Saccharomyces cerevisiae S288C: one gene and its partners. The main gene of each other region encodes a partner of the protein of the gene in region 2 in a complex. Each region holds a gene or a part of one and is shown on either strand. Other genes may lie near its edges. The genes, in order: HAT2, HHT1, VPS75 and STH1. A codon is read from its position in the direction of its gene.

Region 1 (6,918 bases), on a different chromosome or scaffold from region 2:
CAGTTAACTTTAGACTCCATAGTGAAGGCTTGTGAAGAAGATTCTGCAAACAGACTAGTACCTTGTTTAAATGCAATGTTATTTGGTCCTCACGGTTCCATAAACTTTGATAAGTTAACAAAATCTGGCACCGTTTCCAAACTTATTGCAATTAAAGAATTACCTTCTACTGTTCTTGCCCAATTACTCGATGTGTTTTTTCTACAGTTACAAGATAAAAAGGGAGTTTTATCTCATACCCTTTTTGCTCTTGATTCCATCCTTCATATAGTTCGTGCACACAAAGTCGAAATCAATGACATGGACATAATGAAGCCCGTGTTGAGACCCATCGTATATATGGCTTTCTTCAAACATACATCAGATGATCTGAAGTTAGAACAGCTACACGAATTAGCCAAGGAAAGACTTTATTCCATCCTGGGAGAGTTGACAATAAACAAAGAAATACGTTGCAAAGATCCTGAAATAAACTCATGGCAATATCTGACATTAAAGTTAATACTGGACATTGAAAATTCTCATGTAGGAGATTTAATCAATCCACTGGACGAAAATTTAGAAAATATAAAAAACGAAGCTATATCTTGCTTGAGTAAAGTTTGCAGATCAAGAACTGCTCAATCTTGGGGTCTAAGCACGTTGTTATCTATGTGCTTAGTACAATTATATGCAGGTGACACCGATTCTATTTCTGTGATCGAAGAACTTTGCGAATTTTCCAAACACGAGAATAACTCAATGGTAGGCATCACTGAAATCTTACTATCACTTTTAGCCCAAAAGAAGGCCTTACTCAGGAAATTGAGTTTAATAATCTGGCAGCAGTTTATTGAAGAAGTTGGTTTGGAAGAATTGCAAATTTTATTAGATATTTTAAAAGCGAGAGAAAACAAGCAAGGTTTTGCCCAGCTATTCGAAGGAGAAGAAGAATTTGAAGAAATTAAGGAAGAAAATGATGCCAGTGAAGACGAATCGAAAACTGGTAGTGAAAGTGAAAGTGAAAGTGAGAGTGATAGCGATGATGCTGATGAAAAAGATGAAGAAGACGAGGCAAATGAAGATATTTTGAATATTGATAAAGAGGCCACTAGCGCCTTAGTGAAGGCGTTAAATTTACCCGATAACATAGTTAATGATAAAGGGGAAGTTGACTTAGACCAACTCGAAGGGCTTTCTGACGACGGTGGAGACGATGAAGATGAGGAGTCTATGGATGATGAAAAAATGATGGAATTAGATGATCAGTTATCCGAAATTTTCAAACGTCGTAAGGAAGCATTATCAAGCATATCTACTGGAAACCAGAGGAAATTTGAGGTAAAACAATCTAGGGAAAACGTTATCTCGTTCAAGCATAGAGTTGTCGACATGTTAGCCGTTTACGTCAAATATTGTGAAAAATTGACTCTTGCTAATAAAAGTGAACATTCCAACAATTTAGGAGGCTCATTAAGCAAGCTCGTTTATTTTATTATCCCAATGCTGAAATGTGTCAATGAAACTCTTGATAGGCCACTTGCCGACAAAATTTCTAAATTGTTGAAGGGTAAAATATTCAAGATAAAAGTAACTGCATTCAAAGACATGAACAAAGACATCGAGCTTATGGATTTGTTGAAAAAAACACACAAGCTGATGCTGACTTCTAAGCCAGGTCAGCATGCTGCAGTGTTTTATTCAATGTGCTCAACCAGCTCACTGTTTTTGAGTAAGTTATACGTTGAAATCGGTGGTAACGACAAGCTTGACGAATTGATTGACTTGTATACTGCAACTACCAAAGAGTGGATGCAAAAAGGAAAATGTGGACCTAACATTTTTATTGATTTCATCAATTGGCTATCTTCAAAAAAGCAAACTGTAATGGATAAGGAATAATCTAAGTATATTTTATCACTCCTCAAAATCGGATTATGTATGTTGATCTTTGTTTAATTACGCCTTTTCGCCAAAGAAACAATAAAAAAACTATATATTAGCTTATTATATCCTTGTTCACCTTTGGTGGACCTCCCACGATGGGTAGACTATGGGAACACTTCCAAACTTGTAAAATATTTTCTTCTTCAGCACTTGCTACCAACCAAGGTATTTGAGGGTTCAAATCAAAATCATTCACTGAACTTCTGTGACCTGCGTGGACCATGATCAATTCAGGAACGCCGTCTTCCGCGTCATCAGGTGTTTGTTCTGCTCCAATTTGTTTCAAATCCCACATCATCAATCTATTGTCTGACCCGCTGGATACAACTACACCGTCAACATGGGTTGAAAATTCCAAATTGTTCACTGCATCTTCATGACCCGACATATGGTGTAATGGTTCCTTCATGTTTCTTAGATCATATAGATAAACATACGAGTCCATACCTGCGGCCGCAAGGAGGTTTGAGGAATGATGACTAAATGCTAATGTGTTGAAAGGTTGCGGGCATTTCACAGTATCGATCGTAGTATTGTTTGCCCTGACGTCATTTATTTTTAAGAGAGAATCTTCTGAAACAGTGCCGAATAGATCTTTATTGAAGTTGTGCCATTTATTATCATTAATAATATCAGAATGTAAATCATTCCAAGTTCGTACTGGTTTTGTAGGGTCACCGCCACTCCCCACTTCCCAGAGAGCGACTGTATGATCATCTGAGCCGGAAAGCAATCGCCCTTTGACCAAAGTGCTAAATGATAAAGCATAACCGTTATCCTTATGAAATTTTAGTGTTGACTGAAGACCTTCTGAGCGAGAATAGAGGAAAACTGTGCCTTGCCCATTTATTGTGGCGACAATATTAGGGTCTTGAGGCATATATCGGGCTCTAGTGATTTCTTCTTCGTGCTCATATTTAGCGGTAATCCTTATATTTGACCTAGGAGCAGGTAGAGAGGACTGATACTCCTCTCCTGCTTCTTCTTGTGGGTCTTCATTACTAAGAATTTCCTTTGGTAGATTAATTTCTGCGAATTTCAAATAGTTTTCTTCTTCACCAGAAGTGTGCGTACCGATGATTAATTCTTGTTTAATAAAGCCACCATCTAATTCTTGAACAGGAGTAGGGAGCCATTGGACGGTTAAAGATGGCCATGTTAAACGTGTCTCGCTAACAAAGTCATACATTAATGGAACATTGGATTTCCATAAATCGTACTCCTCGTCTACAGAAAGCGGTTTCTCTTGGTTTTCCATAGTTGATTGGTAATTTGCTATTTGGTGACTACTAGGCTAACCACAATTGATAGGAGAGATAAGAGAGGCAGAAGTATTAGAGGCATAGTAACGTCTTTCTAGTTATTCTCCATTATTATTTTCAAGGTTTGTCTTTGTCATGTCGACGAATGCCAGTGAAAACATCCGTACACCTCACAAATTGTTATTTTGAACAGAACAGACGAGCTACTCATCAAGTATCAAATAGACTGAACAAATGACCTAATCTTTCTAGATTACTCCAAAAGAAAAAGCTGAAAGGAAACCGGTTAAAAACATGAAAGCTTTCTGTAGGGAAGTTTTTTCCTCGCTCTGCTCCTGAGCCTACAGGAGCATGGAAATGGTTGAAAGGACCGAGGAAGAAAGGGAGCATGTCAAATAGAACAAGAGGAAAAAAAAGGTGAAAACAGCTATTTTAAGCAGCAGAAGTTTGAGTCAGAAATGCCTACAATATATGAGAATTTCTTCGCACATGGTTTAAAAAAACTAAATAATCCGCGTGATAACGTTCTCACCAGATTATGAAATCAAATAACAATGCCCCACCTGTATATTGCGATTGACGTAAACGGTAATAAATGTAAAATTTAACATAAAAAAGGGTAAAGAAAACAAACTTTTTCAGGGGTCATCCCTTTTTGTTTTCTTTTTCATTCTTATAAATCAAGAGTATTTTATCGGTAGACAGTTTAGCCGCCGATTTTGTACCGCAGTCCAATATTAGTAAATGTTGGGCACCACTTTGAACATACCGACTCATTGAGACTGCAAGAGCAATTATTTTATATTCTTCTTGAGGCGCCGTTAAAGAGAGAATGAACACGACAATTATCTACAGCATGCAATCGTGGTCAGAATTCTAACTTTTTGTCTTATAAATGCGCACGTATTATTTTCATTTATGTATATATAGATAAATCAGAGCATTGAGTAGTAAAACTGAAGGCTCAAGAGTTCTGATACGCGATGAGAATTCGTGCAGTTAGGATGTCAATTTTGCCAAAATTGGGACGGGCGGCTGCCGTCCGGGGATTCCATGAAGAGAGTGGAAAAAAAAGTGTCACTAACTTCCCACAGGTATCCCCGACACCCTATCCTGCGCTAAGAAAGCCAATCGGCTGAATGTGCAATTGATTGACGTTGAAGGAAAAGAAAAAAAGGAGAAAATTGGGGCGATAATAACAATCACAAACGTCTTCCACTTTTTATCAAATGTTGCGGGAAGAAATAAGGGTAAAATGCCTTGTGTAGGTTCATACATATATAAATAAGTAAGGAAGTTAAAAGAAACCCTTCAAAATGTAACCTACATCATGCGTAGGCTTAATATTAAGCGGAGAAAATCGGCAAGCCCAAGCTTATATTCATATTATGGAATACAAAAGGCGAAAAAGAAAATTGACTAGTAACTAAATTGAAAATTAAATGGCAAATGATGGGATTCAGAGGAATGACAACAGAAAGGGTTTTAAAACTGTACAGTTCTCGGCTTATTCTAAAGAAATTGACGTCATAATGAAAAAAATATCATTCTTGGAAAGAAACATTACCCAACAACTAGATACTCTTCCTCATTTTCCAAAAACCTTACCACCAAATCACAAAGATTGTGTAAGTAGAAAGCACAGGGCCAGGCGAGGTTGGAGTAGTCAGCTGAAAAACTTGCTAGGCATTTACTCCAAAGAGGAAATTTTTACTCTGGATAATTTAGCTGCAACACTGCATGATCAAGTTTTAAAGTTACAAGCTACACTTTTTCCCAATGCCATACTGAAACAGGTTCATCTCGACAATGCCAACATAGAAAACAAGAGAATTCTGAAGGAAATTACATATAAATACCTTTCCAACGAAAACTGTAAAGAGGAGAACAAATTCGGAACATTCATCGTAAAGAGAATTTTTTTTGGTGACTTATCACTCGGGGTTTCCGTGTTAATCAACCGTATTGCTTTCGAATCGGCCACATCATCCATTATGGTAGTGAGAAGTTCATTTATTGAAAGTGATTTCTTTTATGAAGATTATTTGATTTTCGATTGCAGAGCGAAACGACGAAAAAAATTGAAGAGGAAAATTTTGTTTATTTCCACTACCATGAATTTCAATTACCAAACCAAAGTCTAAGCCTGTAACAAACGTTGATTGATACCAATATTTTTTCTCTTTCATTTATCTCTCTGTATATCTAAATAGCTATACTATACATCGAATAATGCTTTCAAGCAGATGCCTTAACGTGCTCCACCACTTCGTCACAAAATTGACCTAACTTAGAGGAGTCCTTACATTCCGCATAAACCCTCACCGCATCCTCCGTACCACTGGCTCTGACAAAGCTTCTTCCCATGGGATACTTGGCTACCACAAGATCTATCTTGTCTTGCAACCCCACTGGATTGAGCAATTTTCTTTCCTGGTCCGTGGTTTGGAAAATTGACCTATCAGGAACGATGCACTTAACCAGCTTGTTGGGCAAATCAGTATACTCTTCATCCCAATCCATTGGCGACATTTTCAAAATCGCCAAAGTAGCAAGGACAGCAAGCATGTCTGAAATAGCATCTCCCACGGTCTGATTAATCAATTCAGAGAAACACTTCAAAGTTCTCAAAGCTAACGTATCACCATTTAACTTGGACTTGGATAATTCAGATTTGATAGTTCGATGAAATTTTTCGCTGAATATAATCGTACCATGTCCATTTGCTTCGAAATAAATGCCAATATCGTACTGAGTGGCAGCTTCATGATGCAAGTGTTTAACACCTGTCTTAGTGCAAGACACGGGACAGTGCAACGTATTTTTTATGTAAGCGGTGGAACTGCCGTTTGCATAGGCAGTTTGCACAACACCAATCTTCAAAGAATGTTCTAGGTGTGCCAATTCTAGTTGTTTAGACAAGAACTTTGCAAACAAAGTGGAAATTTTGTCACCATCCAACAAATGAAATTTTGATCCTGAGTCGACATAGTAGAACACAACCCTGTCTGCGTCACCATCAAAGGAGCAATATAGCGAATCAAACGAGGATGGAGAAAGACCCTTGGGTAATCTCTGGTTAGTCTTCACATAATCCGCACCGCATTCAAAATTCAACAGTTCTGGAACATCGGACCTGTCGTTGATTACCTCAACTTGCTCCGCTGGCACGTCCCAATCTTCGGAGGCCAGTAGTTTTTTCAACTGTGGACCACCGATACCATTGGCTGTGTCTATGAACAATTTTGGGACAGACAGCCTCTTCTCCAGCTGATACGTGGCGAAGAGCTCGTTGAAGGCTCCTATAAAGAACGAATAGTAGTCCTGTTCTGTGGCAACTGGCGCTGTGTCTCCTTCCAGTTTCCGCCTGTTGGACAAATCAGTAATGTAATGCAATTGAGGCGTAGTGACACAGCCTAGGTCCAAAACTTGCGCGTGGAAGACGCTGGCCATGGAGGAAGTCAAGCAGCGCAGCAAGTATGGACTACTTTCCCTAGAGTCTCTCCCAACCACGATGTGAGGCACGACGGTTGTATTCAAATCAATCTTTTCGTGTTCAATCAGCTTGGCCAACTCAACACGAAATTCTTCAAAATTAGTGGCAAAAGAGGCCGCATTGGCCAACTGCATGGCATATGGCTCCCATGTGGCCAAAAGCATCGATCCGTCTGGTTCCACGATCTTGACCCCGTTGTCCTGGTATGGGTTGTGCGACGCCGTGATCATCACC
Region 2 (6,028 bases):
GGAAAAACTAGTGATGCGAAATATTGTAGAGAAAAAGCGCAGGGCATTCCTATACTTAGTAATCACCATCATAACGTATTTTAAAATGAAGAAGCGAACCTCAAAGAATTTTCTATACAGAAGAGACCTTTCCGCGCATATACGCGGTAGCGTGTGTCAGCATCAGAGGTTTAGCATAATATATTGCAGAAAATGTGCTAGTAATATTGTTCTCTCTGTTGTCAATGGGCTTACAATTGCCGGCCATCAGTATATGGAGTATCAATGTTCCTTTTGATCGCCAACAAATACTACCTTTTATCCTGCTCTTCCTGCTCTCAGATATTAATGCCGAATTGTTTCATCTTGTCTGTGTAGAAGACCACACACGAAAATCCTGTGATTTTTCATTTTACTTATCATTAATCGAATGTATATCTATTTAATCTGCTTTTCTTGTCTAATAAATATATATGTAAAGTACGCTTTTTGTTGAAATTTTTTAAACCTTTGTTTATTTTTTTTTCTTCATTCCGTAACTCTTCTACCTTCTTTATTTACTTTCTAAAATCCAAATACAAAACATAAAAATAAATAAACACAGAGTAAATTCCCAAATTATTCCATCATTAAAAAATACGAGGCGCGTGTAAGTTACAGACAAGCGATCCCTATTCCATGCAAGTTCGGTAAGTAGCAGAAATAATCAAACTGTTTAAACCCAATTAAAATTAAATTAAATACCCTTTATATGTTTATAATTGTACATATTTCTCCTAAACCCGCTATAATACACTCATATTTGTAGAAGAAAAACCGGGCAGTTGAATACGAATCCCAAATATTTGCTTGTTGTTACCGTTTTCTTAGAATTAGCTAAATTAACCACCGAAACCGTATAAGGTTCTACCTTGTCTCTTCAAAGCATAAACAACATCCAAAGAAGTAACAGTCTTTCTCTTGGCGTGTTCGGTGTAGGTAACAGAGTCTCTGATGACGGATTCCAAGAAGGATTTCAAGACAGCTCTGACTTCTTCGTAGATCAAACCAGAAATACGCTTGACACCACCTCTTCTAGCTAATCTTCTGATAGCTGGCTTAGTAATACCTTGGATGTTATCTCTTAGAATCTTTCTGTGACGCTTGGCACCACCTTTACCTAGACCTTTACCACCTTTACCTCTACCGGACATATTTTACTATATTATATTTGTTGCTTGTTTTTGTTTGTTGCTTTAGTACTATAGAGTACAATAATGCGACGGAAACCATCATATAGAAAAAATATCTCGGTATTTATAGGAAAAAGAATTAGACCTTTTCCACAACCAATTTATCCATCAAATTGGTCTTTACCCAATGAATGGGGAAGGGGGGGTGGCAATTTACCACCGTATTCGCGGGCATTTGCTAAAGTAAACAACTTCGGTTTTTACCACTAACCATTATGGGGAGAAGCGCTCGGAACAGTTTTACTATGTGAAGATGCGAAGTTTTCAGAACGCGGTTTCCAAATTCGGCGGGGAGATACAAAAAAGATTTTTGCTCTCGTTCTCACATTTTCGCATTGTCCCATACATTATCGTTCTCACAATTTCTCACATTTCCTTGCTCTGCACCTTTGCGATCCTGGCCGTAATATCTCTCCTTGACTTTTAGCGTGGAAGATAACGAAATGCCCGGGCGATTTTTCTTTTTGGTACCCTCCACGGCTCCTTGTTGAAATACATATATAAAAGACTGTGTATTCTTCGGGATACATCTCTTTCCTCAACCTTTTATATTCTTTCTTTCTAGTTAATAAGAAAAACATCTAACATAAATATATAAACGCAAACAATGGCCAGAACAAAGCAAACAGCAAGAAAGTCCACTGGTGGTAAGGCCCCAAGAAAGCAATTAGCTTCTAAGGCTGCCAGAAAATCCGCCCCATCTACCGGTGGTGTTAAGAAGCCTCACAGATATAAGCCAGGTACTGTTGCTTTGAGAGAAATCAGAAGATTCCAAAAATCTACTGAACTGTTGATCAGAAAGTTGCCTTTCCAAAGATTGGTCAGAGAAATCGCTCAAGATTTCAAGACCGACTTGAGATTTCAATCTTCTGCCATCGGTGCCTTGCAAGAATCTGTCGAAGCCTACTTAGTCTCTTTATTTGAAGATACCAACTTGGCTGCCATTCACGCCAAGCGTGTCACTATCCAAAAGAAGGATATCAAGTTGGCTAGAAGATTAAGAGGTGAAAGATCATAGTTTGTTGATTGTCATCAGTTTTAGTAAAAAACGAACAAAAACACAATAAAATATAAATCAATATATTTAGGTTTACTGGGTTCTTTAACAGTTGTATAATAGTTATTTTTTATTACAAAAATATAGGTTTTAATAAAAAAAAATAGGGTTCTATTTGTTTTACATTTATTGATTTGTTTTTCCTGGCGATACCCTCGAAAAAAGCCAGGCCTTGTAGGAGGCAAGATTTATGGCTTTCCATGTGGTTAAAGAAAAATTGCAGCAGGAAGATATTCATTCATGAGTCAGTTATATAATCGATATATAGCTACATATTAAACAACTTGAAGCCGCATACGTGGTAGGTGTCTCATTTTCAATTCAAAATATTTTAAACAGAACCGGAGATGAAGAACCACTTGTCAATAGACTTGTCAATTGGAGCATCTGCCTTTGGAGAAGCTGGTGGGATGGCATCAGAGGCAGCCTTGGAGTAGGTTGGGGTGTCAGGCAAAGTAACATTGGTCAAATCAATACCCTTGCTGTCAGAAGACTTACCAGCAATTAATTGTTTCCAGGAGTCATGTGTTTCCTTGATGATATCCAAAGCGTACTTCTTGTTCTTAGCTTCACCGGAGAAGGCAAATTGGTTTTCTGGCTTACCATCTGGGATTTTGTAAATTCTGAACCATTCGTTAGTAGCCCTCAACAGACCTGGGAAGTATTTCTCAACATCCTCAATGTCGTTCAATTTTGGGGCTAATGGATCGTTAATATCAATGGCAATAACTTTCCAATCGGTCTCACCTTCATCCAATAAAGCCATGATACCTAGAGCCTTAACTTGCTTGACTTGACCAGTGTAAGCAATAGTTTCACCAATTTCCAACACATCAATTGGATCGTTGTCACCAACTGCCTTAGTTTCTGGGTGGCTTACGTTTGGGTCTTCCCAAGTTTGTGGGAAAGCACCATAGTTGTGAATGTAACCATGGTGAGGGAAACAGTTTCTAACAAATCTCAACTTGCCCTTCTTGGTGTCTTGGATGATTGGGTTCAAAGTTTCTTCCTTGGTGATTTCTAACTTGGCGTTGGTCCAACGTGGAATTTCAACAACCATGTTGAAAATGTTGTTTTCCTTGTCAGCGTACAAGGGAATGTCGTGGAAGGCAGAAACTGGCTTACCATCCTTTTCGATATAAACTTTGTATTCCAAGGTGTTCTTGGCACCAATTTGTCTGGTAGTGTAGGTCATTAGTAAATTGCGCGGCGGGATATCCTGTTCTATAGACCTAAGGGACAACAAATCAAAATAGATGATTAAGAAAGTAAGTATTCAAAAACAAGTTGTAAATGAACTAACCTTCCTAACTTCGACGCGACCTTAAAACGTCGAAAAAAAACGAGAAAAAGTCATCATGAGACTATCGTATCTAATGACTGTGGCTTCTCCCAACAACCTTAGCGTCTGCGATGACGATATTTTGAAGAACAGTCAAATCCGTTTGAATAGTGCGCCACACAGGGATAATAATAGCACATTGGCATCTCCTTCTGTGAATGAAACACTTCTACCTGGGCTTCAAAGTCCCGCAACCTTTTAGTTACATAAAATTCGGCGGCTAAATCATGATATTATATTGATGGGTAATGTAGCGTTCAGTAAAACGGTTCCTATGTATTACTATCACGTGGGTGGGGAAGACCACATTCTTAGAGAAGAGTAATCATTTTAGCAGATTATTTTTACCTTTTTCAACTCATGAACTCATGTTCAAAGGTACAATATATTACCCTTTCTTCAAAGTATCCGAATGATTTGAACCGCACTCTGAGGGAGCCATCAAATTCTATTGAGCGACTTCGAATCGAACAATCCAATTAAATCAGCCTTTAGCGCCATATTTCTCCTTGTATCCATTGTTTACTTCTCCCTTGTATCTTGTATATGAGAATTATGGGAATAAGATAATTGTTGGGATTCCATTGTTTTCAAAGGCTGTAATATTAGGTACACAGATTATACTAGAAGTTCTTTTCGAGGATATAGGAATCCACAAAAGGAAATCGATAGTTATACATAATAATATTATTGTATCTTACTTCCTTTTATATGTTGTCACTCATTATTGTGTCGTGCATTCCATTAGATTGGATGACTGTTTCTCAATCTTTATGCCATCCTCTTACACCGCATGTGATATAATAGTAACATGAGTGCTGCGAAATAGATGATATTAAAATTTCATTCCAACAAAGTTCCATATATATCCATATATATATATATATTTCACGAGGATAATGAGTTAAAATACTATGTAAAGGTATTGTGGTTCATTTTTCTTTTATCAATTTTTATCCAAGTTTTTCTGATCTATAACATGTCCAATACACTTTTTCGAACTATAACCGCCAACAAATTTATCTTATAGACGAGAAACACTTTTATGATATCGATGTTCTACACCTACTGCCGATAACACCGTGTTTTCACTATTATAGCATATACCATTTTTGTAACCAATGTGTTGTTGTAATTCTCCGCAAGGCATATCCCAGATATTCTTATATGGCCCATTTCCACTTCGTTGAAGCCTCACATCAAAAGAGCAATCTTGAGATAATTTCAAAACCACACACATCGCTGCAGTTTCATAATATCTGTCATCACTGATGCAATAATTAAGTGACGAAATTATATCATTATTAACAGCTGTATTATTATTATAATCAAGACAAGCTGAATTTGATGCAAATATATATTCCCATTCAGTGCCGTTTCTTTCGAATTTATAGAAATCACTTCTTTGTAGGTAATTGTTCTGGCTTACTTTGAGCTTATTCATGTTAAAGTAATTGTTGGAATAAAAATCCACTATCGTCTATCAACTAATAGTTATATTATCAATATATTATCATATACGGTGTTAAGATGATGACATAAGTTATGAGAAGCTGTCATCGAAGTTAGAGGAAGCTGAAGTGCAAGGATTGATAATGTAATAGGATAATGAAACATATAAAACGGAATGAGGAATAATCGCAATATTAGTATGTAGAAATATAGATTCCATTTTGAGGATTCCTATATCCTCGAGGAGAACTTCTAGTATATTCTGTATACCTAATATTATAGCCTTTATCAACAATGGAATCCCAACAATTATCTAATTACCCACATATATCTCATGGTAGCGCCTGTGCTTCGGTTACTTCTAAGGAAGTCCACACAAATCAAGATCCGTTAGACGTTTCAGCTTCCAAAATTCAAGAATATGATAAGGCTTCCACTAAGGCTAACTCTCAACAGACAACAACACCTGCTTCATCAGCTGTTCCAGAGAACCCCCATCATGCCTCTCCTCAACCTGCTTCAGTACCACCTCCACAGAATGGGCCGTACCCACAGCAGTGCATGATGACCCAAAACCAAGCCAATCCATCTGGTTGGTCATTTTACGGACACCCATCTATGATTCCGTATACACCTTATCAAATGTCGCCTATGTACTTTCCACCTGGGCCACAATCACAGTTTCCGCAGTATCCATCATCAGTTGGAACGCCTCTGAGCACTCCATCACCTGAGTCAGGTAATACATTTACTGATTCATCCTCAGCGGACTCTGATATGACATCCACTAAAAAATATGTCAGACCACCACCAATGTTAACCTCACCTAATGACTTTCCAAATTGGGTTAAAACATACATCAAATTTTTACAAAACTCGAATCTCGGTGGTATTATTCCGACAGTAAACGGAAAACCCGTACGTCCGATCACTGATGATGAACTCACCTTCTTGTATAACGCTTTT
Region 3 (6,599 bases), on a different chromosome or scaffold from region 2:
AATCCCAAGCTTATGAAAAATAGAAAAAAAGTATGGGAGACCGAACAGGATCTAATTACCGAACAGCAGAAGCTTAACACGCGATTGAAAGAAATTGAAAAAGAACGAGAACTAAATGAACTGCTGAACGAATCGAGCAAGGATAAGCCGGAGACTCTCAAGAATGACTTGGCTTTGAAGAAGTCGGGCTTGGAATGGATGTATCAGGATGCAAAACTGAGTGACGAAAAGGAAGACTATTTATTAGGTAAGAAAAAACTAGATTCATCTATACTAAACCAACCTGCAACACCGCCTGTAAGGGCGGCCACTACTATTTCCGCTTCTGGTGCCGCAACATCCATAAGTTCGCAGAAGAAGAAGTCAAAATTGCTTAAAGATGATCCAATGAGTAAGTTTAAGGTAACTAAACAACAAAGAAGAACTCCAGACTCAACAAAAAAAAGAGCAATGTCGCAACGAGGGAAACCGTTGTCCAAGCCCGCTCCGGACCTAGACTACTAAACTTTCCTTTTCTTAGAGCTTGGTTCCTCGTCGGATAGTGGCAAGTCCACCTCACCGAGACTGCCATCGTCATCCTCGCTGTCGCCATCTGCGCTTAACCCGGATTCTCCTTCTTCGTCTTCCAAGTCCCTCTGGGCCTCAGCATAGTACTTCACACAAAAAGGGTAGATCTCTTCACTGAACAATGACGCCAATGAGTCGCCGTGCGGGAACTCCTTCCCGGGTTTTAGGCCGGTCCATCTGAACCAGCCAAATATGGTTTTCATTCCCTGTCTGTACTTTTTTTTACCCTCTGGACTGCGTTTGTCTTTGATCAAGTCCGGGTTTATCGAGTCGTAACTCTGGGGCCACTCAATTGGAACGGGCTCACTAGTCAGTATCCCGTCTTCTTGGTCATCTTTGCCTTTTTTGATTTGGAACACCTTGGTGACTTGCTGCTCTTTGAAGTCTCCCTCAATTCCATGGAAATGGAATGTTATACTAAAATCTCTAGTGTCGTACATTTCAGACTCCAATGCCAGCCATTCTACTTTGATCTTATCTATAGTGTCAATGTATTTAAAATCTGAAGCCCTTATGTAATTCGCAAAACTAACGTGTTGTGAAAGCACAATTTTCCAGAACTCTGCAATTTCGTCAATATACGCGTCCCTCTTTTCATAAACAGGCTTCATTTTGTTCAATCTGTATAATTCTACCTCACGTTCAATAGCGTCCACTTCTTCTTCGCATTTAGCCAATCCTAAGAATGCTTTTGCACTGACCATCTACCGCACTTGCTAAGTGCATATTGTTAGTATAATGGGTTGCTTTATTTTTCCATTTCATGCCCTGCAGAGCTCAATCCTACATACTGCTCGTTCTCGTTTTCTTGGTCACTCATCATTGGCAGTGTTATGCTTCGAAATGTTTGTCGTCAACATCAAGCGCCTAATCATTAGGATGCTTTTCTTCCCTTTTCTCACAAGCGCAGTGTTTGATTTTTTCAATTTTTTCCGCCTGGAATTTTTTCACATTCCAAAATGAAAAGTACATATATAATACAATTAATTATATTAGTTTTTTCTTTCCTCCTTTCCTTTTTCACTATTTTAACGTAAAAAAAGATGGTATATACATATATACGTACTTTTGAATAGTTGCACACATAACGAAGCCACGAGTATTCTATTTGTCTTCACCAAAGTACTCTTCATGTAGCTTCTTTTGTTGTTCCCATTGCTTCTTCAACTTCTTGGTCATACTCTTGGTGATATCATTACCGTCTTTGTCCTTTGTTGGAAGGCCTTGCTCGTCCCAAGCACTGTACAATGTGACATCCTTGAACATATCTTGTGGTTTAATTTGAGCTTTCTGCTTCCTCTCGTTTTCCTTCTGCTCTCTTAATTTCTGCTGTTCCAATTTCTTTTGTTTCTTTGCTAGTTCGTTGGCATGTTTCTCCTCGTTTAGCTTGACAATTTCCAATTTTTCATCGTTAGTCAAAAATTTGATCAAGGCAGATTGTCCATTCCTATCATCCAAGGCAACATTCAAGTTTAGCAAATCTTCGTTTCTAATTTTATCCGTTAATTGCAAGAATTCCTTGGGTTCGGCTTTCTTGATAGCTAAGGAACGTACATCATCTCTAAATGTGGATAAACACTTAACATATGGCATAACAGTGTCTTCCAATGAGCCTAGGGATCCATCGTTGGAGCCAGCTTGGGCTGCCCAACCCAAATTGTCAGGACGGGATGGAAATCCAATTATTCTTAAGATTTTGGTGATGTAGCTACAGATAGCAATCAAGGGCTCAATTTTTAAAGCAGCACCTGCAGTGGTAATGTATGTGTTTGACTTGGTCACTAATTCGCTCAGTGTCTTCAAAGCAACAGGTGTGGATAAATTATCACAGAACGCCGAATGGACTTTCGATTCACTTTCAACAAAATCAGCCAATAATTCTTTCTCTAAGGGACTAAACTTTTTAGAGATATGACCTGCAGAAGCTGCATCGTTCTTCAATGCTCTAATAGTCTTAAAAAAATTGTTCATGGAGTTTTCAAATGACTTTACTTCATGGATCAAAGATTCCTTGAAATCCAATTGATTGTTCCATTGTACTGAGGCAAAAGCCAATCTTAATTGGCGCGGTGAGAATTTTTTCAAAGCTTCTTGAATGGTAATGAAATTCTTTAAGGATTTAGACATTTTTTGACCCTCAATATGTAAATGGCCCGTATGTAAGAAATAGTTGATCCACTGTTGATTGTCGAAGCGAGCCTCGGATTGAGCCAATTCGTTATCATGGTGAGGAAAGGCCAAATCGATGCCACCTGAATGAATATCGATGTTAGAGCCTAGGATATCACTGGCCATCACAGAACATTCAATATGCCATCCTGGTCTACCCTTACCCCATGGTGATTCCCACTCAGGTTCACCTGCCTTGGAAGCCTTCCATAAAGCAAAATCATTATTCGACTTTTTTCCGTTATCAGCAAAGTTGCTTAAGGACCCTTCACCATCATTAATTAAGTCTAACTGGCCCTTATTCCATGGCTGGCATTTAGCATAGTCATGATTTGGGGATTTGTCAAATTTTAAAGTATCAAAGTACACGGAACCGTCGGAAGTGGCATATGCGTAACCATTATCAATAATTTTTTGAACAAAGTCAATAATTTCTGGAACGTACTCAGAAACACGAGTTGTAACGGTGGGAGGTAGCACGTTTAATGATAACATGTCATCATTGAATTTCTGTTCCCAGTAAGCTGGAAGTTGGCGGAAAATCTCTGGATTGCTAATGGTAGAGCCCAATTCTTTATCCAATAGAGGAACCGTAACGTCCTTGACTTTTTCAAAGGCAACTTCTGCGTCCATGGAATCGCCCTTAGTGATTGATTCAATAGCATTTTGAACTGCGGTGACATGCATAGGGAATTTAGGATTCTCCAATTTTAAAGTTTCAGTATCAGCATTCGATAACCAAGTTTCAAATTCTTCGATAGTTTTGATCTCGCTGCCTTGAATAGTAAAATTTTTGTTGATATATTGGAAAAGTGCGGTTTTGACCTTGTCAACAACAGTGGCGTTGAATTTGGTATCATTTTCTTTGACAAAATTGTCAAATAAATAGTTTTGTCTAGCTCTCAAAATAATTTTATCGTCGATATCAGTAACATTTTGCACAAATTGCACGTCGTAACCAAAATAATCTTGAATAATTCTTCTATTGATATCAATAGAGACATAGTTTCTGGCATGACCCATATGGGAGGCATCGTAAACAGTAGGACCGCAAGAGTACCAAGTGACACCTCTATTGCCAGATTGCGGAATGAATTCAACCTTAGATCTTGTTAAACTGTTGTACAACTTCAACACAGTTTCTTTAGCTTGTGGCGTTGGAACCTTCCATTTGGGCTGCACAATCTTCGGCGTAGACATTATAGTATATCTTCTCAGGGCTTTTATGAAGATATTCATGCATAGAATAAGAACTTGACCGGACACCTAATCACCGACGCCAATTAGCAATACTGTTCTTTTCAATTGATAATGTCTTTTGACTCTTCGCGATGAAAAATGTTTGCGGTCACCCGCGCTGAAAATTTTTTATTGCGATGAGCTGAAATTTTCCATCTCATTTTTAATAGTAAGTATTCTTGCATGAACACTAATGATATTAGGAGGGCTTTTTAAGTTGCTACCACTATTGCAGTCGTTATCAACCTTTTGCACTTTATCTAGTAATGTCCGTGAAAAGGTCTGTTTCTGAAATCGAAATTGAAAGTGTTCAAGATCAACCCTCTGTTGCCGTGGGAAGTTTCTTCAAGGGCTTCCGTGCTCCCAGTGACACTACGTTCGACTTATACAAAAAAAAGAAGTCTGAAAAGGACGAATTCGTATTACACGGTGAAAACGAGAGACTAGAATACGAAGGTTATACTGATTCTTCTTCCCAAGCTTCGAACCAGTATGTTGTGGGCCTATTTAATCCAGAAAAGAAAAGTATTCAACTCTACAAGGCTCCCGTACTTGTTTCCAAAGTTGTATCCAAGTCAAGCAAGAATCTAAGGGGTCCAAAAATAAAAAGTAAGAGTGATACTCGTCCATCTGCTTTGAGAAATGCGTTGGGTGAAGCGTTTGGTACTAAAAAGGCTAAAAAAGCTATTGCAGATCTAGAAAGAAACCGTATTGACTCTGATAAGTTGACTGATTCTGCTATTGACATTGTGGATTCCGTGAGAACTGCATCTAAGGATTTACCAACTCGGGCTCAATTGGATGAAATTACTTCCAACGATAGACCTACTCCATTAGCCAATATCGATGCCACTGATGTAGAACAAATTTACCCAATTGAAAGTATAATACCAAAGAAGGAATTACAGTTTATTCGCGTTTCATCAATTCTGAAAGAAGCGGATAAGGAAAAGAAGTTGGAATTGTTCCCATACCAAAACAATTCCAAGTATGTGGCAAAGAAATTGGACTCTTTGACACAACCTTCACAAATGACCAAATTACAGCTACTATACTACTTATCACTATTACTGGGCGTATACGAAAATAGACGCGTGAATAACAAGACGAAGTTGTTAGAAAGGTTGAACAGTCCTCCTGAAATCTTGGTAGATGGTATCTTAAGCAGATTTACCGTGATAAAGCCTGGACAGTTTGGAAGATCAAAGGATCGCTCCTATTTCATTGACCCACAAAATGAAGATAAAATCTTATGCTACATCTTGGCAATCATAATGCATTTGGATAACTTCATTGTTGAAATCACACCCTTAGCACACGAATTGAACTTGAAACCTTCCAAAGTTGTCAGTTTGTTCAGGGTACTTGGTGCTATTGTCAAAGGTGCCACAGTGGCTCAAGCTGAGGCTTTTGGCATTCCAAAAAGTACTGCAGCTTCTTATAAAATTGCCACTATGAAAGTTCCATTTAAGCTACCTGAAATGACAAGAAGAGGAAGAGGTCCAAGACGTTAGAGTTACCTAGAGGTATATACTGAGCATTTGGTTTGCTCTGGTTTTTTTTTTTGCTAGATGGTTCTATAAAGCAGCAAAATATAAGACGGTCCTCCTGATGAGAGGAAGAGAAAAACAAAAATAACTACATAGATATACGCTATTTTTTCTGAGAAGATACATATGTACAAATAGATATTTTACAATAATTTTAAACTTCGCAATAAATTCAATATTAATTCATAGCGTAGTTCGGCTTTCTAGCACCTTAGTAAGCTGAAATTTAAAAATGTATCAGTTTATTTTTTTCAATAAAGGTAACTTTAAATGAGAAACCAACGTGTTATATAGGTGAAATCATGAATAGCAGTCTGCAAGTTGGCATCGGAATTGATGTAGGTTCATCAAGTGCTAGAATAGGTGTATATAATTACTACAATGATGCGCTGTTAGAAATGGCGCAGGAACCAGTCCCATACTACCAGGATTCTTCAAAGAAGTCATGGAAATTCTGGCAAAAATCAACTGAAATAATTAAAGCCCTTCAAAAGTGTCTTCAGAAACTGAACATTAGAGAATATGAGGTAAAGTCATGTGGTGTTTCTGCAACGTGTTCATTAGCTATTTTCGAAAGGGATCGCACAAGTAACATGCTGATACCGTATCCAAATGAAGATAATGTCATATTTTGGATGGACTCTTCTGCCGTAAACGAATGTCAATGGCTAAATATGCAATGTCCACAACAGCTTTTGGATTATTTGGGAGGAAAATTTGTACCCGAAATGGGCGTCCCCAAATTGAAGTACTTTTTAGATGAATACTCTCATTTACGAGACAAACATTTTCATATCTTTGATCTTCATCAATACATTGCTTATGAACTGAGCCGCTTGTATGAATGGAACATTGAAGGACTTTTGGGAAGAGAAAATCTTAATGGTATAGGCAATGATGGAGAGGTATCTGGCTGGTCATCTTCATTTTACAAAAACATTATAAATTTACCATCTAATGTAAGCATTGGAACCACTAGTCTTGTTGCCAATAAGCACATTTCGACAACTGTAGTTCGCAGTTGTATTGACAGTTATGCAAGTTGGTTCGCAGTTGCTTCTCCTCATTTGGAAA
Region 4 (9,753 bases), on a different chromosome or scaffold from region 2:
ATTTGAAATTATGCAAAACAGCGAAGGAAATGAAAACACTCTACTAAATCCGTACAATAAAGACCAACAGAGTGATGATGTGGGCCAATATACTAACTACGATGCTTGCTTGAAAATTATTAATCTAATGGCATTGCAACTATACAATTTTGACAAAGTATCATTTGAAAAGTTCTTCACTCATGTATTAGATGAGTTGAAACCAAATTTTAAATATGAAAAGGATTTGAAGCAAACCTGCCAGATTTTGTCCGCTATAGGTAGTGGGAATGTCGAGATATTTAACAAGGTCATTTCGTCAACTTTCCCCTTATTTTTGATCAATACATCTGAAGTTGCCAAACTTAAGCTGCTGATTATGAATTTTTCTTTTTTTGTTGACTCGTACATTGATTTGTTTGGAAGAACATCTAAAGAATCGTTGGGAACACCGGTGCCAAATAATAAAATGGCTGAATACAAAGACGAGATCATAATGATTTTGAGCATGGCCTTGACAAGAAGCTCCAAGGCAGAGGTTACCATAAGGACTCTATCTGTGATTCAATTCACAAAAATGATTAAAATGAAGGGCTTTTTAACCCCAGAGGAAGTTTCACTAATTATTCAATACTTCACGGAAGAAATATTAACGGATAACAACAAAAACATTTACTATGCTTGTTTGGAAGGGTTAAAGACAATCAGTGAGATATATGAGGATTTAGTTTTTGAAATATCATTGAAGAAATTATTGGATTTGTTACCTGATTGCTTCGAGGAAAAAATTCGAGTAAATGATGAGGAAAATATTCACATTGAAACAATTTTGAAGATTATTCTTGATTTCACCACTTCGAGACATATTTTGGTCAAAGAAAGCATTACATTTTTAGCGACAAAATTGAATAGGGTAGCTAAAATTTCGAAATCCAGAGAATATTGCTTTCTACTTATTTCAACCATATATTCTCTTTTTAATAATAATAATCAAAATGAGAACGTGCTAAATGAAGAAGATGCTCTTGCACTCAAGAATGCCATTGAGCCAAAATTATTTGAGATAATTACTCAGGAATCGGCCATTGTAAGTGACAATTACAATTTGACACTTCTATCTAACGTTCTTTTCTTCACCAATTTGAAAATTCCACAGGCTGCACACCAAGAAGAACTAGACAGATATAACGAGCTTTTCATTTCTGAAGGTAAGATAAGAATCTTAGACACACCGAATGTATTGGCTATTTCATATGCTAAAATATTATCCGCACTAAATAAAAACTGCCAATTCCCCCAAAAATTTACAGTGCTTTTCGGAACGGTTCAACTACTCAAAAAACATGCTCCAAGAATGACGGAGACTGAAAAATTAGGATACCTGGAATTGCTGTTGGTCTTATCAAATAAATTCGTCTCTGAAAAAGATGTGATAGGATTATTCGATTGGAAAGACTTATCAGTAATTAATCTTGAAGTGATGGTTTGGTTGACTAAAGGGCTGATAATGCAAAACTCATTAGAGTCATCAGAAATTGCAAAAAAGTTTATTGATTTACTGTCTAATGAAGAGATTGGCTCACTTGTATCGAAGCTATTCGAAGTTTTTGTCATGGATATCAGTTCTTTGAAGAAATTTAAAGGTATCAGTTGGAATAATAACGTTAAAATCTTGTACAAACAAAAATTCTTCGGTGACATTTTTCAAACACTAGTCAGCAACTATAAAAATACCGTGGACATGACCATTAAATGCAATTATTTAACTGCATTATCCTTAGTGTTGAAGCATACTCCAAGCCAATCGGTTGGTCCTTTTATCAACGATTTATTCCCGCTTTTATTGCAGGCTTTGGATATGCCTGATCCTGAAGTAAGGGTATCCGCTTTAGAAACTCTGAAGGACACTACGGATAAACATCACACTTTAATTACTGAACACGTAAGCACAATAGTTCCATTATTACTATCTCTTTCGCTTCCGCACAAATATAATAGTGTCAGTGTCAGGTTAATAGCCTTACAGCTTCTAGAAATGATTACGACTGTAGTACCTCTAAACTATTGTTTGAGCTATCAGGACGATGTTCTAAGCGCTTTAATACCAGTTTTATCTGACAAAAAAAGAATAATAAGAAAGCAATGCGTTGACACAAGACAGGTTTATTATGAATTAGGCCAAATCCCGTTCGAGTAAACGCTTGTATTTAATAATTTGTTCACATTGATGAGCACGTGAAAATCTTAGCGAGTATACTAAGTAAATATGATTCTTTTATGTATAGTACAGCAAAATAGCATTTATTTTTATTACGTTTAATCTTCTTCACTAGAGTCTTCCTCGTCGCTTAGTCCTACAGGTGCCAAACCCGGTGTCAGACCAGGATATCTATGATCTTTAACAAAATCGCTCTCTTTGATATCTTCCTTGAATTGTTTTCTTTTGAACCTTCTTCTTTTACTCCTGTCTGTGTTCGCAGTGGAAACTGTATCCTTCAAGATGGATTGCTGAATGTCTTCAAGCTCATCTCGTACTTCCTCTTCTAAATCCCACGACCTCAAATTTTGAGAATTCCTTTTGATTAACTTATTCAAATACTTCCTCTCATGGTCCGTTAATGTGCCCTCATGTTGATGTTTTTTCAAAACCTGGTGTTTTGCCAGTTGTTCAAGTTGCTCTTTATCTAATTTATGTTTCTTAACTTTTTTTTTTTTGACCAGTTTGCATTTTTTTTTAATTTTGTGAACGTCTCTGTTTTGTAACTGTACTCTCTTTTTCAAGTTCCTGTCGATTAACTGAGCTTTTGACCCATTGTTTACACTTGTTTTGCCATTATTAGCTCTGATTTTGGGAACGCCAGGCAAAAGGTTTGATAGCAGTCCATTAACAACCGAGGTGGCCTGGTATTTAGATGTTTGGCTCAGCGAAGATGACATTTTGGCCTAGCTAGCTCCCTCCTTAAGTTGTTCGTATTCTAAACAACTTTTCCACAAAACAATATTTCCACAGTTGCCAGCTATATTTCCATATTCCTTAGTTAAAGCTCATCGCAAAATTTTTCAAAGAGCATTAGGGTCACGTGTATACATTCACGTGACTATCTAGTACCCGCCCCGTGGCAAAAAAAGAAGACACCAATTTGGCACTGAGAAAAGAAAAAGTTTATCAATAACGAAAACGAAACTTAAGAGGAAAAAGAGTATAGAGAAAAACAAAGGCAATCAGCGGCTAATTTGGTGGAAATAACAACACAAAGAGGCAGCACAGTTTAGAGCAAGCGCGAATGCTTCAGGAACAATCTGAGTTGATGAGCACGGTGATGAATAATACACCTACAACAGTTGCCGCATTGGCTGCGGTTGCTGCAGCCTCTGAAACAAATGGAAAGCTGGGGTCCGAGGAACAACCTGAAATCACTATTCCAAAGCCGAGGAGTAGTGCACAGTTGGAGCAGCTACTCTACCGCTATAGGGCTATTCAAAACCATCCAAAGGAAAACAAGTTGGAGATCAAGGCAATAGAAGACACTTTTAGGAATATATCACGTGATCAGGATATCTACGAAACAAAGTTGGATACCTTGAGAAAGAGTATAGATAAAGGATTTCAGTACGATGAGGATTTATTGAATAAACACTTGGTTGCCTTACAGTTACTGGAGAAAGATACAGATGTCCCTGACTACTTCTTAGACTTACCAGACACCAAGAACGATAACACTACGGCGATCGAAGTAGACTATTCTGAAAAGAAACCAATAAAAATATCAGCAGATTTCAATGCGAAGGCCAAAAGTTTGGGTTTAGAATCAAAATTTTCTAACGCTACGAAGACTGCATTGGGCGATCCAGATACCGAAATAAGGATTTCTGCACGTATATCCAACAGAATTAACGAGCTGGAAAGATTACCTGCCAATCTGGGTACATACTCACTAGATGATTGTTTAGAGTTTATTACAAAAGATGATTTATCGTCCAGAATGGATACTTTCAAAATCAAAGCTCTTGTGGAATTGAAAAGTTTAAAGCTACTAACTAAACAAAAATCGATTAGGCAAAAGTTAATCAACAATGTTGCCAGCCAGGCACACCACAATATTCCATATCTACGTGATTCTCCTTTCACAGCAGCTGCACAAAGATCTGTTCAAATTAGAAGCAAAGTTATTGTCCCACAAACCGTTCGTTTGGCAGAAGAATTAGAAAGGCAACAACTATTGGAAAAAAGAAAAAAGGAACGTAATTTACATTTACAAAAAATAAACAGCATCATTGATTTCATCAAAGAAAGGCAGTCCGAGCAATGGTCTCGTCAAGAACGTTGCTTTCAGTTCGGTAGATTAGGCGCTTCATTACACAATCAAATGGAGAAAGATGAACAGAAAAGAATAGAAAGAACTGCTAAGCAACGTTTAGCTGCTTTGAAGTCTAACGATGAGGAGGCTTATTTAAAGCTTTTAGATCAAACTAAGGATACTAGAATTACACAGTTATTGAGGCAGACTAATTCCTTTTTGGATTCTTTGTCGGAGGCTGTTAGAGCACAACAAAACGAAGCAAAAATTCTTCATGGTGAGGAAGTCCAACCAATTACAGATGAAGAAAGAGAAAAGACTGACTATTATGAAGTCGCTCATAGGATCAAAGAAAAAATTGATAAACAACCTTCTATTCTTGTTGGCGGCACTTTAAAAGAGTATCAATTACGAGGTTTAGAATGGATGGTGTCGTTGTACAATAATCATTTGAACGGTATTCTAGCAGATGAGATGGGTTTAGGTAAAACCATCCAATCTATTTCTCTAATAACATATCTTTATGAAGTTAAGAAAGACATCGGCCCTTTCCTAGTCATTGTACCTTTATCCACAATAACCAATTGGACTTTAGAATTTGAAAAATGGGCTCCGAGCTTAAACACTATTATATACAAAGGTACACCAAATCAAAGACACTCTTTACAGCATCAAATAAGGGTTGGAAATTTTGACGTCTTATTGACAACATATGAGTATATTATTAAAGATAAATCTCTTTTATCAAAACATGATTGGGCTCATATGATCATTGACGAAGGTCATAGAATGAAAAATGCTCAATCGAAGTTATCATTCACAATTTCTCATTATTATCGTACAAGAAACAGATTGATTTTAACGGGTACTCCTTTGCAGAACAATCTACCAGAATTATGGGCACTGTTGAACTTTGTTTTGCCTAAAATTTTCAATTCTGCGAAGACTTTTGAAGATTGGTTTAATACTCCATTTGCCAACACCGGTACCCAAGAGAAACTAGAATTAACGGAAGAAGAAACTCTGTTAATTATTAGAAGATTACATAAGGTGTTAAGGCCATTTTTATTGCGTCGTTTGAAAAAGGAAGTGGAAAAGGATTTGCCTGATAAAGTGGAAAAAGTTATCAAATGTAAACTGTCTGGTTTGCAACAACAGTTATATCAGCAAATGCTAAAGCATAACGCGCTATTTGTTGGTGCAGGGACTGAGGGGGCTACAAAGGGTGGTATTAAAGGTTTGAACAATAAGATTATGCAATTAAGAAAAATCTGCAACCATCCATTCGTATTTGATGAAGTGGAAGGTGTTGTAAACCCCTCAAGAGGTAATAGTGATTTACTTTTCAGAGTAGCGGGCAAGTTTGAATTACTGGATAGAGTGCTACCGAAATTCAAAGCCTCAGGCCACAGAGTGCTAATGTTTTTCCAAATGACTCAAGTTATGGATATTATGGAAGACTTCCTAAGAATGAAAGATTTGAAGTATATGAGATTAGATGGTAGCACTAAGACTGAAGAAAGAACAGAAATGCTGAATGCATTTAATGCTCCAGATTCAGATTATTTCTGTTTCCTTTTGTCAACTAGAGCCGGTGGTTTGGGTTTGAATTTACAAACTGCAGATACGGTGATCATCTTTGATACAGATTGGAATCCACACCAAGATTTACAGGCCCAAGATAGAGCTCACAGAATTGGACAAAAGAATGAGGTTAGAATTTTAAGATTAATTACCACTGATTCCGTAGAGGAAGTTATTTTGGAAAGAGCTATGCAGAAATTGGACATTGACGGCAAGGTTATCCAGGCAGGTAAGTTTGATAACAAATCAACTGCAGAAGAGCAAGAAGCTTTTTTGAGAAGATTGATCGAAAGTGAAACGAACAGGGATGATGATGACAAAGCAGAATTAGATGACGATGAGTTAAACGATACTTTGGCCAGAAGCGCTGATGAAAAAATACTATTTGATAAAATTGATAAGGAGAGAATGAACCAAGAAAGAGCAGATGCTAAAGCGCAAGGCCTGAGAGTCCCTCCTCCTAGATTGATTCAATTAGACGAGCTACCCAAAGTATTCAGAGAAGACATTGAAGAACATTTCAAGAAAGAGGATTCTGAACCATTGGGAAGGATTAGACAAAAGAAAAGAGTTTACTATGATGACGGTCTAACTGAAGAACAATTTTTGGAGGCTGTAGAAGATGATAATATGTCTTTAGAAGATGCCATTAAAAAAAGACGTGAAGCACGTGAAAGAAGGAGATTACGTCAAAATGGTACAAAAGAGAATGAAATAGAAACCCTGGAAAACACGCCTGAAGCATCCGAAACTTCATTGATTGAGAACAATAGCTTCACTGCAGCTGTGGATGAGGAAACTAATGCTGATAAAGAGACTACAGCTTCCAGGTCAAAACGCCGGAGTAGTAGAAAGAAAAGGACCATTAGCATTGTTACGGCAGAAGACAAAGAGAATACTCAAGAAGAGAGTACATCTCAAGAAAACGGGGGCGCTAAGGTGGAAGAGGAAGTAAAAAGTAGCTCCGTTGAAATTATAAATGGTTCAGAATCCAAGAAAAAGAAACCGAAACTGACCGTCAAGATCAAACTAAACAAAACAACTGTGTTGGAGAATAATGATGGTAAGCGAGCAGAAGAAAAGCCAGAGAGTAAATCGCCCGCGAAGAAGACTGCAGCCAAAAAAACTAAAACTAAATCCAAGTCGCTTGGGATTTTTCCCACGGTGGAAAAATTGGTGGAAGAAATGCGCGAACAGTTAGATGAGGTAGACTCCCATCCAAGGACGTCCATTTTTGAAAAGCTTCCTTCGAAACGCGACTATCCGGACTATTTTAAAGTAATTGAAAAACCCATGGCCATTGATATTATATTGAAAAACTGCAAGAATGGCACTTACAAAACTTTGGAGGAGGTAAGGCAAGCCTTACAAACGATGTTTGAAAATGCTAGATTCTATAATGAAGAGGGATCCTGGGTTTACGTTGATGCTGACAAGTTAAATGAGTTTACTGATGAATGGTTCAAGGAACACTCTTCGTAACGTTTTCATCACCACATGTTTTTTTTTTTTACGACTATATCCCTTTCCCCTCTAATACTCTTTCTAGCCTTTTTTTCTACCTCTACATATGTTTATAAAATATATACCACTGTAACAATAAGATCGACAGAGCGAATATAATTCTTTGAGTAACTAATATCCTTTGGCTTATTCTCTGGGCTTATTAGTGCCGCAAAATAATTACCCGGCGGCGATGGACCAGTTAGCTTCGACCGTTTGCGATTCCGGGGCTAAGGAAGGGGCCTCTGCAAATAAGAAAGAGGCATTACACATAAATGATTGGCAAAGGGACTGCGGGAGTCAAGACCTACATGTAAGTCCGATTTACGATAACGGTTTAGATTCATTGGGTGTGTACTATTTATACTTTAACAAACCCGTGTGTTATTTAATAAGATCATATCTTGTTTGTTTTTCGCCCTCAATTTTGTTTCTGTCACATAGTCGCAGCAGCTGAATATAGATAGGAAGAGAGAAGGAAGCGATTCTCGTTCAGCATCATACTTCTTCCTAATTTCCCCAAATTAAAGTTTCGTTTGAAAGAAACAACAAAAGAGAAAGAAAGCAGTTTTTAGAAAATACTAAATTTTACCGTTATGCTAAGGTTCGTGTCTTCGCAAACCTGCCGGTATAGTTCAAGAGGACTATTAAAAACATCTTTACTTAAAAATGCATCTACTGTCAAAATTGTCGGAAGAGGGTTAGCCACCACTGGTACAGATAATTTTCTATCGACATCAAATGCCACCTATATCGATGAAATGTACCAAGCTTGGCAAAAAGACCCATCTTCAGTCCATGTTTCATGGGACGCATATTTCAAGAATATGTCTAACCCAAAGATTCCAGCTACAAAGGCTTTTCAGGCTCCTCCCAGTATCAGTAACTTTCCCCAGGGTACCGAAGCAGCTCCCTTAGGGACCGCAATGACTGGTTCAGTAGATGAGAACGTCTCCATTCATCTAAAAGTGCAATTGCTATGTAGAGCTTACCAAGTTAGAGGTCATTTAAAAGCCCATATAGATCCTTTAGGGATCTCATTTGGTAGTAATAAAAATAACCCTGTTCCTCCGGAATTGACTCTAGACTACTACGGCTTTAGCAAACACGATCTTGATAAAGAAATCAACCTAGGACCTGGTATCCTGCCAAGGTTTGCAAGGGACGGGAAATCTAAAATGTCTCTGAAAGAGATTGTGGATCATCTAGAAAAGTTATATTGTTCCTCTTATGGGGTACAATACACACATATTCCATCTAAGCAAAAGTGTGATTGGTTAAGAGAGAGAATTGAGATTCCTGAACCTTACCAATATACAGTGGACCAAAAGAGACAAATCTTAGATAGATTAACATGGGCCACTTCTTTTGAGTCATTCTTATCTACAAAATTTCCAAATGATAAGAGGTTCGGTTTAGAAGGTTTGGAAAGTGTTGTTCCAGGTATTAAAACTTTGGTTGATCGTTCTGTTGAATTGGGTGTAGAAGATATTGTTTTGGGTATGGCTCACCGTGGTAGATTGAACGTTTTATCCAATGTGGTCCGTAAACCAAATGAATCTATTTTTTCTGAATTTAAGGGTTCGAGCGCTCGCGATGATATTGAAGGATCGGGTGATGTCAAGTACCATTTGGGTATGAACTACCAAAGACCAACTACGTCTGGTAAGTACGTCAATTTATCGCTGGTGGCAAATCCTTCTCATTTAGAATCCCAAGATCCAGTTGTTCTTGGTAGAACTAGAGCTTTATTGCATGCCAAGAACGATTTGAAGGAAAAAACAAAGGCCTTAGGTGTGTTATTACATGGTGATGCTGCTTTTGCTGGGCAGGGTGTTGTTTATGAAACCATGGGTTTCTTGACCCTACCAGAATACTCTACTGGTGGTACTATTCATGTTATTACAAACAACCAGATCGGATTCACTACGGATCCAAGATTTGCAAGGTCCACACCATATCCTTCCGATTTGGCTAAGGCCATTGATGCCCCAATTTTCCATGTTAACGCTAATGACGTGGAAGCTGTGACCTTTATTTTCAATTTAGCCGCAGAATGGAGACATAAGTTCCACACAGATGCCATAATTGATGTCGTTGGTTGGAGAAAACATGGACATAATGAAACCGATCAGCCATCGTTTACTCAACCATTAATGTACAAAAAAATTGCAAAACAAAAATCTGTCATTGACGTCTATACGGAAAAATTGATAAGTGAAGGCACATTTTCTAAAAAAGATATTGATGAGCACAAGAAATGGGTATGGAACTTATTTGAAGATGCTTTCGAAAAGGCAAAGGATTACGTCCCATCTCAAAGAGAATGGTTAACTGCTGCCTGGGAAGGATTCAAATCCCCAAAGGAATTGGCCACTGAGATATTACC

The links.
Region 1: the proteins of HHT1 (region 2) and HAT2 are in contact, whole or in part, in a crystal structure (PDB 4PSX), measured with the Saccharomyces cerevisiae proteins. Residues at the interface, in NP_009564.1 of Saccharomyces cerevisiae: Ala2 (codon at 1,822), Arg3 (codon at 1,825), Lys5 (codon at 1,831), Gln6 (codon at 1,834), Thr7 (codon at 1,837), Ala8 (codon at 1,840), Arg9 (codon at 1,843), Lys10 (codon at 1,846), Ser11 (codon at 1,849); in NP_010858.3 of Saccharomyces cerevisiae: Arg32 (codon at 3,091), Leu33 (codon at 3,088), Thr34 (codon at 3,085), Trp35 (codon at 3,082), Pro36 (codon at 3,079), Leu38 (codon at 3,073), His64 (codon at 2,995), Thr65 (codon at 2,992), Ser66 (codon at 2,989), Glu69 (codon at 2,980), Glu120 (codon at 2,827), Thr122 (codon at 2,821), Gly139 (codon at 2,770), Asn162 (codon at 2,701), Tyr164 (codon at 2,695), Asn212 (codon at 2,551), Asp213 (codon at 2,548), Glu229 (codon at 2,500), Asn255 (codon at 2,422), Thr256 (codon at 2,419), Met272 (codon at 2,371), Asn299 (codon at 2,290), Asn300 (codon at 2,287), Asn356 (codon at 2,119), Glu373 (codon at 2,068), Asn375 (codon at 2,062).
Region 3: the proteins of HHT1 (region 2) and VPS75 are in contact, whole or in part, in a crystal structure (PDB 3Q33), measured with the Saccharomyces cerevisiae proteins. Residues at the interface, in NP_009564.1 of Saccharomyces cerevisiae: Thr12 (codon at 1,852), Gly13 (codon at 1,855), Gly14 (codon at 1,858), Lys15 (codon at 1,861); in NP_014153.1 of Saccharomyces cerevisiae: Ala69 (codon at 1,091), Asn70 (codon at 1,088), Tyr71 (codon at 1,085), Ile72 (codon at 1,082), His196 (codon at 710), Ser199 (codon at 701).
Region 4: the proteins of HHT1 (region 2) and STH1 are in contact, whole or in part, in a crystal structure (PDB 6KMJ), measured with the Saccharomyces cerevisiae proteins. Residues at the interface, in NP_009564.1 of Saccharomyces cerevisiae: Thr7 (codon at 1,837), Ala8 (codon at 1,840), Arg9 (codon at 1,843), Lys10 (codon at 1,846), Gly13 (codon at 1,855), Gly14 (codon at 1,858), Lys15 (codon at 1,861), Ala16 (codon at 1,864), Pro17 (codon at 1,867), Arg18 (codon at 1,870), Lys19 (codon at 1,873), Leu21 (codon at 1,879); in NP_012140.1 of Saccharomyces cerevisiae: Asp1267 (codon at 7,062), Asp1270 (codon at 7,071), His1272 (codon at 7,077), Arg1274 (codon at 7,083), Ser1276 (codon at 7,089), Ile1277 (codon at 7,092), Phe1278 (codon at 7,095), Pro1282 (codon at 7,107), Tyr1287 (codon at 7,122), Asp1289 (codon at 7,128), Tyr1290 (codon at 7,131), Val1293 (codon at 7,140), Ala1329 (codon at 7,248), Phe1331 (codon at 7,254), Tyr1332 (codon at 7,257), Asn1333 (codon at 7,260), Glu1334 (codon at 7,263), Gly1336 (codon at 7,269), Ser1337 (codon at 7,272), Trp1338 (codon at 7,275), Val1339 (codon at 7,278), Val1341 (codon at 7,284).

The regions. Positions count from the first base shown.
Region 1 is NC_001137.3:43,434-50,351, reverse strand, and holds HAT2 (Hat2p), read right to left. Parts: upstream 3,185-6,918; coding exon 1,979-3,184; downstream 1-1,978. Other genes in the region: POL5 (DNA-directed DNA polymerase), read left to right, coding at 1-1,881; SDD1 (Sdd1p), read left to right, coding at 4,631-5,332; phosphoacetylglucosamine mutase PCM1, read right to left, coding at 5,427-6,918. UniProt on the Saccharomyces cerevisiae protein: Regulatory subunit of the histone acetylase B (HAT-B) complex. The complex acetylates 'Lys-12' of histone H4 which is required for telomeric silencing.
Region 2 is NC_001134.8:254,513-260,540, forward strand, and holds HHT1 (histone H3), read left to right. Parts: upstream 1-1,818; coding exon 1,819-2,229; downstream 2,230-6,028. Other genes in the region: HHF1 (histone H4), read right to left, coding at 861-1,172; inorganic diphosphatase IPP1, read right to left, coding at 2,600-3,463; YBR012W-A (gag protein), read left to right, coding at 5,357-6,028. UniProt on the Saccharomyces cerevisiae protein: Core component of nucleosome. Nucleosomes wrap and compact DNA into chromatin, limiting DNA accessibility to the cellular machineries which require DNA as a template.
Region 3 is NC_001146.8:180,251-186,849, reverse strand, and holds VPS75 (Vps75p), read right to left. Parts: upstream 1,391-6,599; coding exon 1,359-1,390; intron 1,264-1,358; coding exon 501-1,263; downstream 1-500. Other genes in the region: U2-type spliceosomal complex subunit CWC25, read left to right, coding at 1-504; CRS1 (cysteine--tRNA ligase), read right to left, coding at 1,672-3,975; DNA-directed RNA polymerase I subunit RPA49, read left to right, coding at 4,242-5,489; MPA43 (Mpa43p), read left to right, coding at 5,828-6,599. UniProt on the Saccharomyces cerevisiae protein: Histone chaperone which acts as a cofactor stimulating histone H3 acetylation by RTT109. Preferentially stimulates histone H3 'Lys-9' acetylation by RTT109. May also stimulate histone H3 'Lys-56' acetylation by RTT109. Assembles nucleosomes (in vitro).
Region 4 is NC_001141.2:114,729-124,481, forward strand, and holds STH1 (RSC chromatin remodeling complex ATPase subunit STH1), read left to right. Parts: upstream 1-3,263; coding exon 3,264-7,343; downstream 7,344-9,753. Other genes in the region: MET18 (Met18p), read left to right, coding at 1-2,176; RRT14 (Rrt14p), read right to left, coding at 2,296-2,916; alpha-ketoglutarate dehydrogenase KGD1, read left to right, coding at 7,961-9,753. UniProt on the Saccharomyces cerevisiae protein: Catalytic component of the chromatin structure-remodeling complex (RSC), which is involved in transcription regulation and nucleosome positioning. RSC is responsible for the transfer of a histone octamer from a nucleosome core particle to naked DNA.